Drosophila melanogaster: one gene and its partner. The protein of the gene in region 1 purifies or fractionates together with the protein of each later gene. This does not show direct contact. Each region holds a gene or a part of one and is shown in the gene's direction. Other genes may lie near its edges.

Evidence for each region.
Region 2: the proteins of CG5541 (region 1) and caps purify together in Drosophila melanogaster (affinity purification with western blotting; one large-scale study listed by BioGRID). This does not show direct contact.

The regions. Positions count from the first base shown.
Region 1 is NC_004354.4:15,042,135-15,047,339, forward strand, and holds the start of CG5541 (uncharacterized protein), read left to right. Parts: upstream 1-1,988; 5' UTR 1,989-2,149; intron 2,150-5,205.
Region 2 is NT_037436.4:13,226,861-13,231,792, forward strand, and holds the start of caps (capricious), read left to right. Parts: upstream 1-1,831; 5' UTR 1,832-2,280; intron 2,281-4,932.

The DNA.
Region 1 (5,205 bases):
ATTTTTTGTAATTTCAAGTTCTCAGGAACAGTCTGAAGTGAGAAAAGTCCAAGTCAAGCAATAAACAAACCTTAGAACCCATTTATACAATTTTTATCCAGAGGGTGGCATATCAAATGGCCATTTGACTTCTCAGTTACTCGAACAAAGCACTCGCCAATACATACATATGTACATAAATATTAATCTCTATTGGCTTACACAGCTGTTTAGCTGTTTCGAACAAACGGCTACTATAAACAAAAACTGAAAATAATATCAAATTGAATCCCAAAGACAGAGAGACAAAGCCCAAGTAAAATGCCAGGCGGGTGTGCTGAAATTGCATTTTGAAATGTTGCTTAACTTGATTTGCAAGCGCGATCGACGAGCTGTTTCGTTGCGAATTAAACGTTGTTGCGGCTTTTGCAGCCGCGGCTGCCATGCAAATGCGTTCTAAAAGCCTTTTCGAGTTATTAATGTGCATATATGGTCAGTAAGTCAGTCAGTCAGCTTGATCAAAATAAACGCCACACTGCGAGAAAACCAAATCAAGTGCATCAAATTGGTATGAAAGGGCGTTCTTTTTTCGTTTGAAAGTGTATTTTCCAAAAAATATCAAAATTATCAAATTTGTTATGTTTTTTAAACTAGCATGTTTAAGTCAAGAATATATAGAAGGTATATTACACTTTTAATCATTTCAGTGCAGGCATAAAGGAATGTGTTAGCAAAAAGCAGCATACATTTGTTAAATAGAATAGGCATATTTATGACCGAATTACCTCACAGTCATCCATTTCAAAAAGTTAAATCGCTTGCTTGCTAATAAATTCTCCAAAACAGCCATAAATATGAAATGCTCAATTTGCCATACTATTTATTCGCATACAGGAATGAGTTCACCTATTCAAAGCTTGAGATATGGAAGTAACGCAACTTGGGAATCCGTTTTAAATTAAAATAGTAATGTGGAAAAGGGTAAATAGTGCCATTACAAACCGCTTTATCTGCGGAGCCTTTCGTCACATTAGTTTTTACATACATACATATGTACATATTTACATAGCCTGAATCTTGAAAAGCGAACCGCTAAGTGCTCCATGTTTGCAGTTGCCATCGAGTAAATTTGATTTGATTTGTGTTGATCTACTGTCCACCTCTTCATTCTCCCCATTTCCCATCCTTTTCTCGTCTTCTCTTCTGCACTCTTCTTTGGCCCCTCTTTCATCGCTTTTTGCGGGGGCTTTTTAAAAAGTGTCAAGTAATGCGTGGCATCGTTCAATTAAGCGCAGTGCAAGAAATTCAGATACAGATTTAAATTAAAATCCATGCTCAGCTTTAACTTGACATACACTCAGAAAAGCGAGGGGAAGTACCAAAAATTCTTCTGGATTCCATTTACTTATAAGTAGAAAGTCAAAAATTCGTTCAAAAGGAACAAATAATTTTGTTTTACATTTTGTGCAGCTAATAAACGCAAAAATTCTTCACCTTTTTGTGTGGTATTTTTTGGTTTAGTTTTGAGTGTTTTGAGCTGGCGATCGTTTGAGAGACGCAGCCGCTAAATCGCCGCAGCCAAAGCGGCGCTCGTTCCACTGAAATCCGCTCAGAAGAGCGCAGAGAGCAGTTAAAAAATCTACGACAAAAGGGGAGAATACAACAGTGATGATAGCGCCGAAAGTGGCGGAAAAACGCTAAACAAAATTGAAAGTCACATCTAAACATTACGTATACGCCGTAGTGGTGACAAATTACACATACGACTAGTTGAACGGACTGAATTAAATTACTTTTATAATAGTTATAGCTTAACAATAGTTGTAGGCGCTACTCGTATTGAAAATTTATTATGTAGCGAACGTTCGCTAACATGTTTTTGAGTGCCTTGGTTAGTTTAATTCGACCCATTAGGTCGAATGAAATTCTGGCACATTAGTAGCCAAATGAGCATCACTGACTTCTGGCCGGAGGTTGGGCATTCGCGTTTGGCGTTCGCCGCTTTGGCGCTCAGTTTGTCATTTGCACGCGCTTACGCCGGTTGGCCGCCCAACAAAAACAAGGCTGTAGAATACATAAACCGCCTGACCGACCGCTCGCGTGTTTTTAGTTTTAGCAGCTAATATAAATACATAAATGCGACTATTTACTTGGGCAATTTGCGACTAAGGTGCGCTTAAATACAACACTTATTTTTTTGAGGTGCTGCCATCGTTTTCATATGTGCCAAAAGCCAAGAGTGTGTGCGTTTCTGGAACAGCCATAAAGTTCAAAGTAATAAAAAAAAAGTAATAGGGAGAGAAGGAAAAACTGTTTGCAAATCTGCTGGGCAAGCCAAAAAAGAATGCAAATAAACGGAGAGAAAGAATTCTTTCCTCTTTTCAGCTCTCTTCTCCTGATTTTGTTACTTGTGATCACAGCCCACGCATCAAAACAAAACAAACAGAACACAAACAAACCGAAGCCCCAAACAAGAATTTAGCATCTCTCCATTCTTGTGTTTTATTCTTGTTTCGCTTTTTTTTTTGCAATTCCCCCAGGGGAATATAAATTAGCAGTGTAGAATTGTGAACAAACGCCCCCTTGCTAAATAAAATATACATGTACATATGTATATACGTATTTAAATTGGCAGACACCTTGCCATATATCCATATCCATTATGTCCGCTGCTCGTCATCATCGTATTTCGATACTTCAAGGTTAAATGACGTCGGAGAAAAGCAAACGTTAAATAAAAATCTGTTTTTAGTTGGCGTTTGTCGTAAAAACTGTTTCGGATCGGCAAAAAGTCCAACCCCAAAGTCATTGTTACAAAAAGGTATTCGAAATTTGCTCCAGGCCACAGTCAAGTCTCTGAAAAACGAACCCTTTTGGGTGTTAATTGGATATCCTTACTATATATAGAAACAAATCACTGTTGTTCTATACAAATTCAATAATCCCTTCGGATTCTAAATTAAATTGGTTTTCTTTGAACCTTTTTAGGATTTTTAGCGGTATAATTTATATTTTGAGTTCGATTTCACTTAAGGAACTTTTACTTTTACGAAATGTTGATCGAAAATTGTGCCAAGTGTATGGAAAGAGGTGGCGCAGAACAAAAAAGCAAAGCAAATGCCCGCTTTTCAAGTAGTAGAAAGCAATGAGCAGGCTAAAAACATTAACCCCGTCAAGTGCCCTCAGCATTCTACGTACTACTACTTTTTCGTTTTTTTAGGCGGTTGGACCTTTGGCCAAACCTAGCTTCGCTTTTAACAATGAACTTCGGGCTCTGAAAGAAAGTTGGTGACTATTTTGCTAGAGATAAGAATTGCTTAATCGCTGGAAAGCTTGTAGGTAATTGTTTGACACATTTAGAATGAACGCAGAAAATGGCAAATTCAAAAAGATTGGAATATACTCCTAAGCTAAGTCTGATGAAAGTTGTATCTAATCATTTTTATTTATATTTATATAAATATTTTAGGAAATGAAAACAGCAATCTTTCTTAAACAAAAGTTACATCCTTTTTTATGCATAAAATACGAATTTAAAATGTTCGATATATCGAGGTAAAACTTTAACTCGCAAATTTCCACCATGACTGATTTCCCCAGACATAAATACTCCAGTTAGTCATTAAGTTTACCGTTAATGCCATTCGGCTGTGTAAACTGCATGGAGTAATACGTTTGAAAAGCACTGGTAACAAAATACACATGTGTCATCCTGCGAGAGTTGAGTCAATTGTGAGGTGGTGAGGCAATCCGACTCATTTAGTTATCTTATCGAATTTACCGATACTAGGTGGTGATAAGATAGTGCCGTTTCAAAAACCGTTTCGAATCGGGCAATCAATGGAGTTCGTCGGCACTCCACCCAGTTACTACTACGATGTGAAGCAGTTTATTGCAAGACTAGCTTTCGGTTTGTTCAGTTAGGCCTCGATTAAATTCAAGTCATTTTGCACTGCATTGTACAGTCGATGAAATGTGCTACTTATGATTGGCACAAGTGATTGTGGCCAAAATAACGATAGTGGCGTTAACAATATGCCAAAATACATGTAGCATACACACGTGTACATACATTCAATTTGAAAGCATTGCTAGAGCCCAATGATTGCAAAAATCCCTAATGATTTTTAATGTCCCGTTGAAAAGCCTATGAATATTAACTGCAATATTGCACAATTCCACTTACAAGCTGTCATAATTGAGACACTAGGATTGTGGATTTAGTAATAGTAAGTTATGATAATAACTTATCGCACATAACTAATTATATTTATTCTGTTAAGAAAGGTGTGCTTTTTTTAAATTTTAAATGCGTATAGATTTTAGGGCCAAAAGGACATAATAGGACATAAAAGCACTATATACACATATCATAATTGCCGCCTAATTGAGCGTAATTAAGGGGCGTAGTCCAAGGGGGGTTTTTATGGGCAGTGATTCTACGGATTTTACAGTGCGTGTGCGCGACTTTCTACTTGGCAGGAAATGCAATTGCGCTTTAATTCAATTTCCTAACCGCAAGTCAACTCAATGAACGTCACTTGATTCAACCCCAAAGGGTTGGCCACCGCGTCTGCGGCGCATCCGGAATTCTAAGGCCCCGGGCCATGAAGCAGCATAGTTAGAGTGGGCAATAACGTATTATGACTTTATATATATATTTCCCTTGTTTGCAATGAGACATTTGTCCTCCACTATCTTAATTCCACTGTACTTAGACATTATCTTGACAATATATATTTTACCAAAGTCAAATGAAATTGCAAAAGTACCCTTTAAAAGGTAGACTTTTTACAAAACATTTTCAAATACTGCAGTTTGAATATGTTAAATGGGTAATACGAATACAGCTCTATGGCATACTTGGCACAATCGTATATGATTTTGAACTTGTAGCCTCTGGAATGCCCATTCGTGCCGGTTTCTCGAATTCTTCGACTCGAGCGCAAATATTTAAGCAGTTGCCACTTGAGATCGAAATGGAGACTCAACTCTCGACACGACTTAATTTTCCTCTCGCGCAAATTGAGTTCTATAAACAAATGGGAAAACGAAATGGCCATAAACAAATAACAAAGCATAATTGCTCATGTTCGGGCTACCATCAGAGACCCATTTCCAGGGCCAGAGAGATTTTCAGTCCAGAGTTTGGCCTCAGAATTCAATTAACGGATGGAGGAAACGGTGGTGATTGGAGGGCAAGAGAAACTACTGACGAAGTGATCA
Region 2 (4,932 bases), on another chromosome or scaffold:
CATTTTCGTTGCAGGTTCTTGAGTGTACGTGTACGTTGCCTGCACTCTCAATTATGTCTTAATTCGTATCTAATGGATATTTTCTGTGTGAATTTTCATGATTAATCGCCGCCCGAGGATGCAGGGGGGCAGCAGCAATCACACTGAAACAAAAATTGCACTTGCGACCATGTGAGAGTGCACTCTGTGCTACTACTTATACTAACAAAAGAATTGATTTTATTTGGACTACAGAATTTTTCTTTCATTATAATAAATTTTGAATTTTAAATTTTTAGACGTGGCCAATACTAATTTGCAGAATATATCGGATATTTTTCTCAGTGTACGTAAAAGGGTGGTTTGCCGACTGCAGTTGTTCACACATGTGTTCACAAAAAGAGTGCAAAGATTGTGGGTGGTGGGGGGCGTACAATGAAACTGCGAGCGATAACTCAACTCCACCGAAGGTTCCCAACTTTCTTTCCCCCTCGATTTTCTTTTTTTTTGAAAATTTGCAAGGCGTTGGCATGGGGTGGGATGAAATTTGCAATTGCTGGGGTGTGGCAGTTCGGCATTAACGGCATATGCATCGTATGTAGGTTTTTACGTTTGTGTGCGTAGACGGCGACGTGTTGCAACTTCCGGTGACGTCGACGTAGTCGCAAAAAGTGATTACGCGGCATTTGTGGTAGCAGCAAACCGGCGACGGTTTTTGCAAACATTTCCAAGAATGCAACCGCATTTGCCGACACCCCCCTCCCCCCTTTCACCGTACAAACACCACCCACTTTTTCGTTGGTAAACAAAAAGCATCTGAAATGCAATTCGCACTTCGGCAGCACATTGGCGCCATCTAGCCGCGCTTAGGCGAACTATGAAAGAGAGCCAGATAACGCGTGTGGTTTTCCGAGAGAGAAAATTGGTGGAAACCCAATCGAGTTGGGAATTTTATCTAAGAGCGAGAGAGTGGTGCCGGTTCTCCGTTCAATTTTCCTCTCTGTTTATCTTTGACTGCTCCATTTGCATTCATTTTAGGCGTTATTGGTGTCTCTGCTGCAACCGCTCCCAAAAAATCAGATTTACATGTCGTTGTTGTTGGTTCTTTTTTATTTATTTATTTTACTTAGCATCGCATCTGATAAGAAAGTTACATATGTGTGCTGGGCGAGCAATGAACTTATTGGAGCCTCTATGGGCAGGGCTAATTGGGACCGGTCAATGTGAGCGGTGAAGGCTAATTAGCTGTGGGCGGCGGAAGTACGACATCTTATTGGATAGAAAATGGGGGGAGATAGGACTAATGGAAAATCAAAGATTTTCTTTTGTTTACGGCTTGATAAGAAATTGTATTAGGCTCTGCAATGAATTTATAGCCAAAACTTTCGTGGGTACTTGATAAAGGGTATGAAAATTTCTTTTATTTCTTTATTGAAAACCTGTATATATCGAACAAAATATGATTGAATGTTAATTCAATCTGGATAACAATACTTATACAATATAACTTTAGATCCTTTCAAAACTCAGTCCTTTGAGATGATATTTTAGTTAGCGTGGTTTCAAACCATCCAGTCTCACTTTATCTGACTCAATGAGAATCCAACTTGAGTCTTGCCGGCTCAGATAAGCCCCGTTATCTGAGCGAGAGAGCATCCCATATGATTTTTGCACAAAAAGCCGAAGTATGCGTTCGTGCTGTTGCACACAATCACACTCTCTTCGTATGTGTATGTGTTTGCCTCGTGGTCTTGCTCTCCCGCTCTCGTGTTCTGTTAGCTCACTTCGGCACTTAACAGCGGCTGAGAATCGAGGTTTTGAAGTTCGTGGCGTACACAGATACAATACAGCGTTAGTTCGAAAAAAATCGTGAACGTGTTTGGACACATTGTGGAGCGCACCGTTATTTCCTTATAGCAGACAGCTCAGCAGATTCGCGCGTGCAAATTCTCACCCTTCTCTTCAACCTCCTCTCCCACCCACCACCACCATCGGTCGGTCGCTGTTGTAGCTGTTGTTGTTGTGCGGGCAACTTGCTTTTTGTGGGCGGGGCACGCGGGTCATCGCAAATAGCAAAATCGTCAATCGTCAATCGTCATCGGCGAAACGTGTGTGCAGAATTAATGAAATGCCCGCGCCGCTTCTTCATCAATGAAAACAAAAAGCGAGGAGACTATCCGCCAAATAGTATCTCAAAGATTTGTAGCTGTGCTTTCGGTTAACGTTGTGTTTGGGCTAACATTTTTGTTTTGACAACAGTGCGTGCTAACAAACTAGCCACGAATTGCCAAAATTATCGCGGTAAGTCCTTCGTTTGGTGCCTAATTATTATTCTGTGCTGTGATGTTACTAAGTTTAGTACTGATATTAATTAGTTTAGTTAATACCTTATATTTACTTTTTTGTTTTTGGTGCGCAGCATTTTAAATATATTTTAATATAGTTAGAAGAAAATACTGATATTCAGTATGAAAAAGAAGAAAAATGGTTTTTAGTGATGGAGAGAATATTGCTATACAACTAGACTGAAATAGGGCTAATTTAGTAATATTTTGATTGATAACCATTGAATTTTAATCAATAATCTAAGCAAATTTACGTTACCTCACATATGAATAACTTTAGAGCATACGCTACATAGCTAAAAAATAGCTAGTTTAAGGCGTAAATTGGTTGTTTTACTATAATTTGTTTAAAATAGTGTGTAAACAGGATAAAATGCATAACTAAAGATTGACCTTATCAGATATTACCGTTACACTTAATGAAGAAGCTCTTTAAGGCCAGAAAAACGCCTTGACAGCAGCATGACATTCTCTTTTCTTTTATTGCTGCTGTTGTTTCAATGTTCGATCGATAAGTTTTATGAGTTTTCGTTGTGAAATTTTGAAATCATTAATTATGTCTCGGGCCGCAGACTCGCTCGGAGTTTCCGTCCAGGGCCAGCCGTCTCAATTTTGGGGTTTCTGTCTGGGGAACAGGTTTCGTTAGAGCGAAAAACTTAAAGAACTTTTCGAGGTTTGTGCGATTCCGGGAACTTGTTAGGTGCTGCCTGGACTCGTGTTTGCTTGCCCCTCTTTATGGAGATGTGGATCTTTATGAATGAACGAGGTGGGGCTCAGTTTGGAGGCTCGGGCAGCTGGCCGACTGGGCGGCTGAGCGGTCCGAATGTCTCGTGTTGTGGGCCTTTCTCGTTGACACTTTTGAGGAATGTCAACTTGGCCCCACTGGCCTGGCCAACTGGGAATGGGTTAGACGTGAGCTGGCGTAAGTCTAAGATGCTGGGATGTACTAAAGTTCGAGGAATTCGAAAGGTGTATACAGTTTGGACCGAACTCAAGAAGACTTCAAGGAAATGGCTGTAGAAGAACAAAAATATTTAGCGGCATTAAACCAAATAAGCTTTGTAACCTTATGGGTTTCAGAGTTACTGTGTATTTATAAACAATATTCCGACATTATAAACTATTTCAATGATGATCATCCCCATAGAAACGATTTTGTATTATTTTAATACGAGCTTATCTTTATGTTGCGCCTTCCACTCTGTGCTTCCATCTTCTATTGGTGACCTTCATTATCTCCATCTGAGAACAACCTCGAGGCGAAATCTTAAAGCAAATCCCCACTCATTAAAGCTCCCACTCTCTGTTGTTATCAGGCCCGAAAACGCCAAGGCCGAAGCCGAAAACTTCCAACCTGCATTAGCTAAGCAGACAACTGAGCAGGGGAAGCTATGTACATAGCTGGGTCTGAAACAGAAAACTTTTTAATTACCAACAGGAAAAAACATTTAAGATAAAAGCCAGGTAATATGCGGGGCAGGTGGGACAGGTCACTCCGCCCCCACACCCACTTTTGCATAAATTGAAATTATGGCAACTGTTTTCAGACTTCAGGATGAAGTAGATTCCGAGTCGAAATCGAACCTTTTACTTCTCACTCACTGACCCGAAGGTATTTATGACCTTCGTAAATAGGAAACCGAAGGAATAAGCAGCAGGTTTTAGCCATCAGAGAGCTACAAATTTTACAGCTTAAATATTTTTTAGCCATTAGATAAACAAATAGAAGGGGCAGAGCGATTGAGTCAGAACCAAAGGTGGAAGAGAAAAGAAAAGAACGAAAATATCTTTCAAGTACAATGTTAGGTAAATATAAACAAAACTTTACGTCTTTCGAGCGAGCTCACACTTCTTTTTACAACCTCCAAGACTTTTGGATGCTGCACTTTGGCTGTTGCTGGTGTTTTGGTTCTTCCTTTTTAGCTACTTAAAGCTTTTAGAGCGGCAGCTAGATGTAATATAAATTACATTAGCTAAGTGCCAGGCGGCAATTAAAAACAAAAAATACTCGTGAAGTTTTCCTCCGCCTTTGTTGTTGCTGATAATGTTGTTAATGATGTTGCGGCAGCATCTTCAGCAGCCCCATCCCATCGGCGGCATCATCATCAGTGGCATCATCATTAAGAACATCATTGCCACCATTAGCAGCATCATTAGAACGTCAACTTAATCAAGGTTAAAAAGCATGTGGCGTGCCTGCCCCAAAAAAGTCGAGGAAAACTCAAGAGATGCGGGAGCTGGCATCCCGCTCTATCTTTCTCTTTTTATGTGTGGTATATGGGTATATGTACATATATATATATATATATCTTCGATTCTGTAATTATTGACGCCGACGATGTCTTCCACGTTAGACATAAACATAAACATATTGCGATGACTGAAATTCGGTAAGATTAGAAAAAGTTATGCAAGGATTGGGCAAATTATGTTGGCTAACATGGGGCAATATTTTTCGGGAGCCTTGTGCGATGTGGCAAGTGTGGTGGTAAACATAAATGGTAGGTAATTGAATAGAGAAAAATTGAGAGCGAAAATGTTGATTAATCGAATAATGATTTATAGCAAGGGAATAGAAAGGGAGCTACCTCACAATGACCAGTATAAT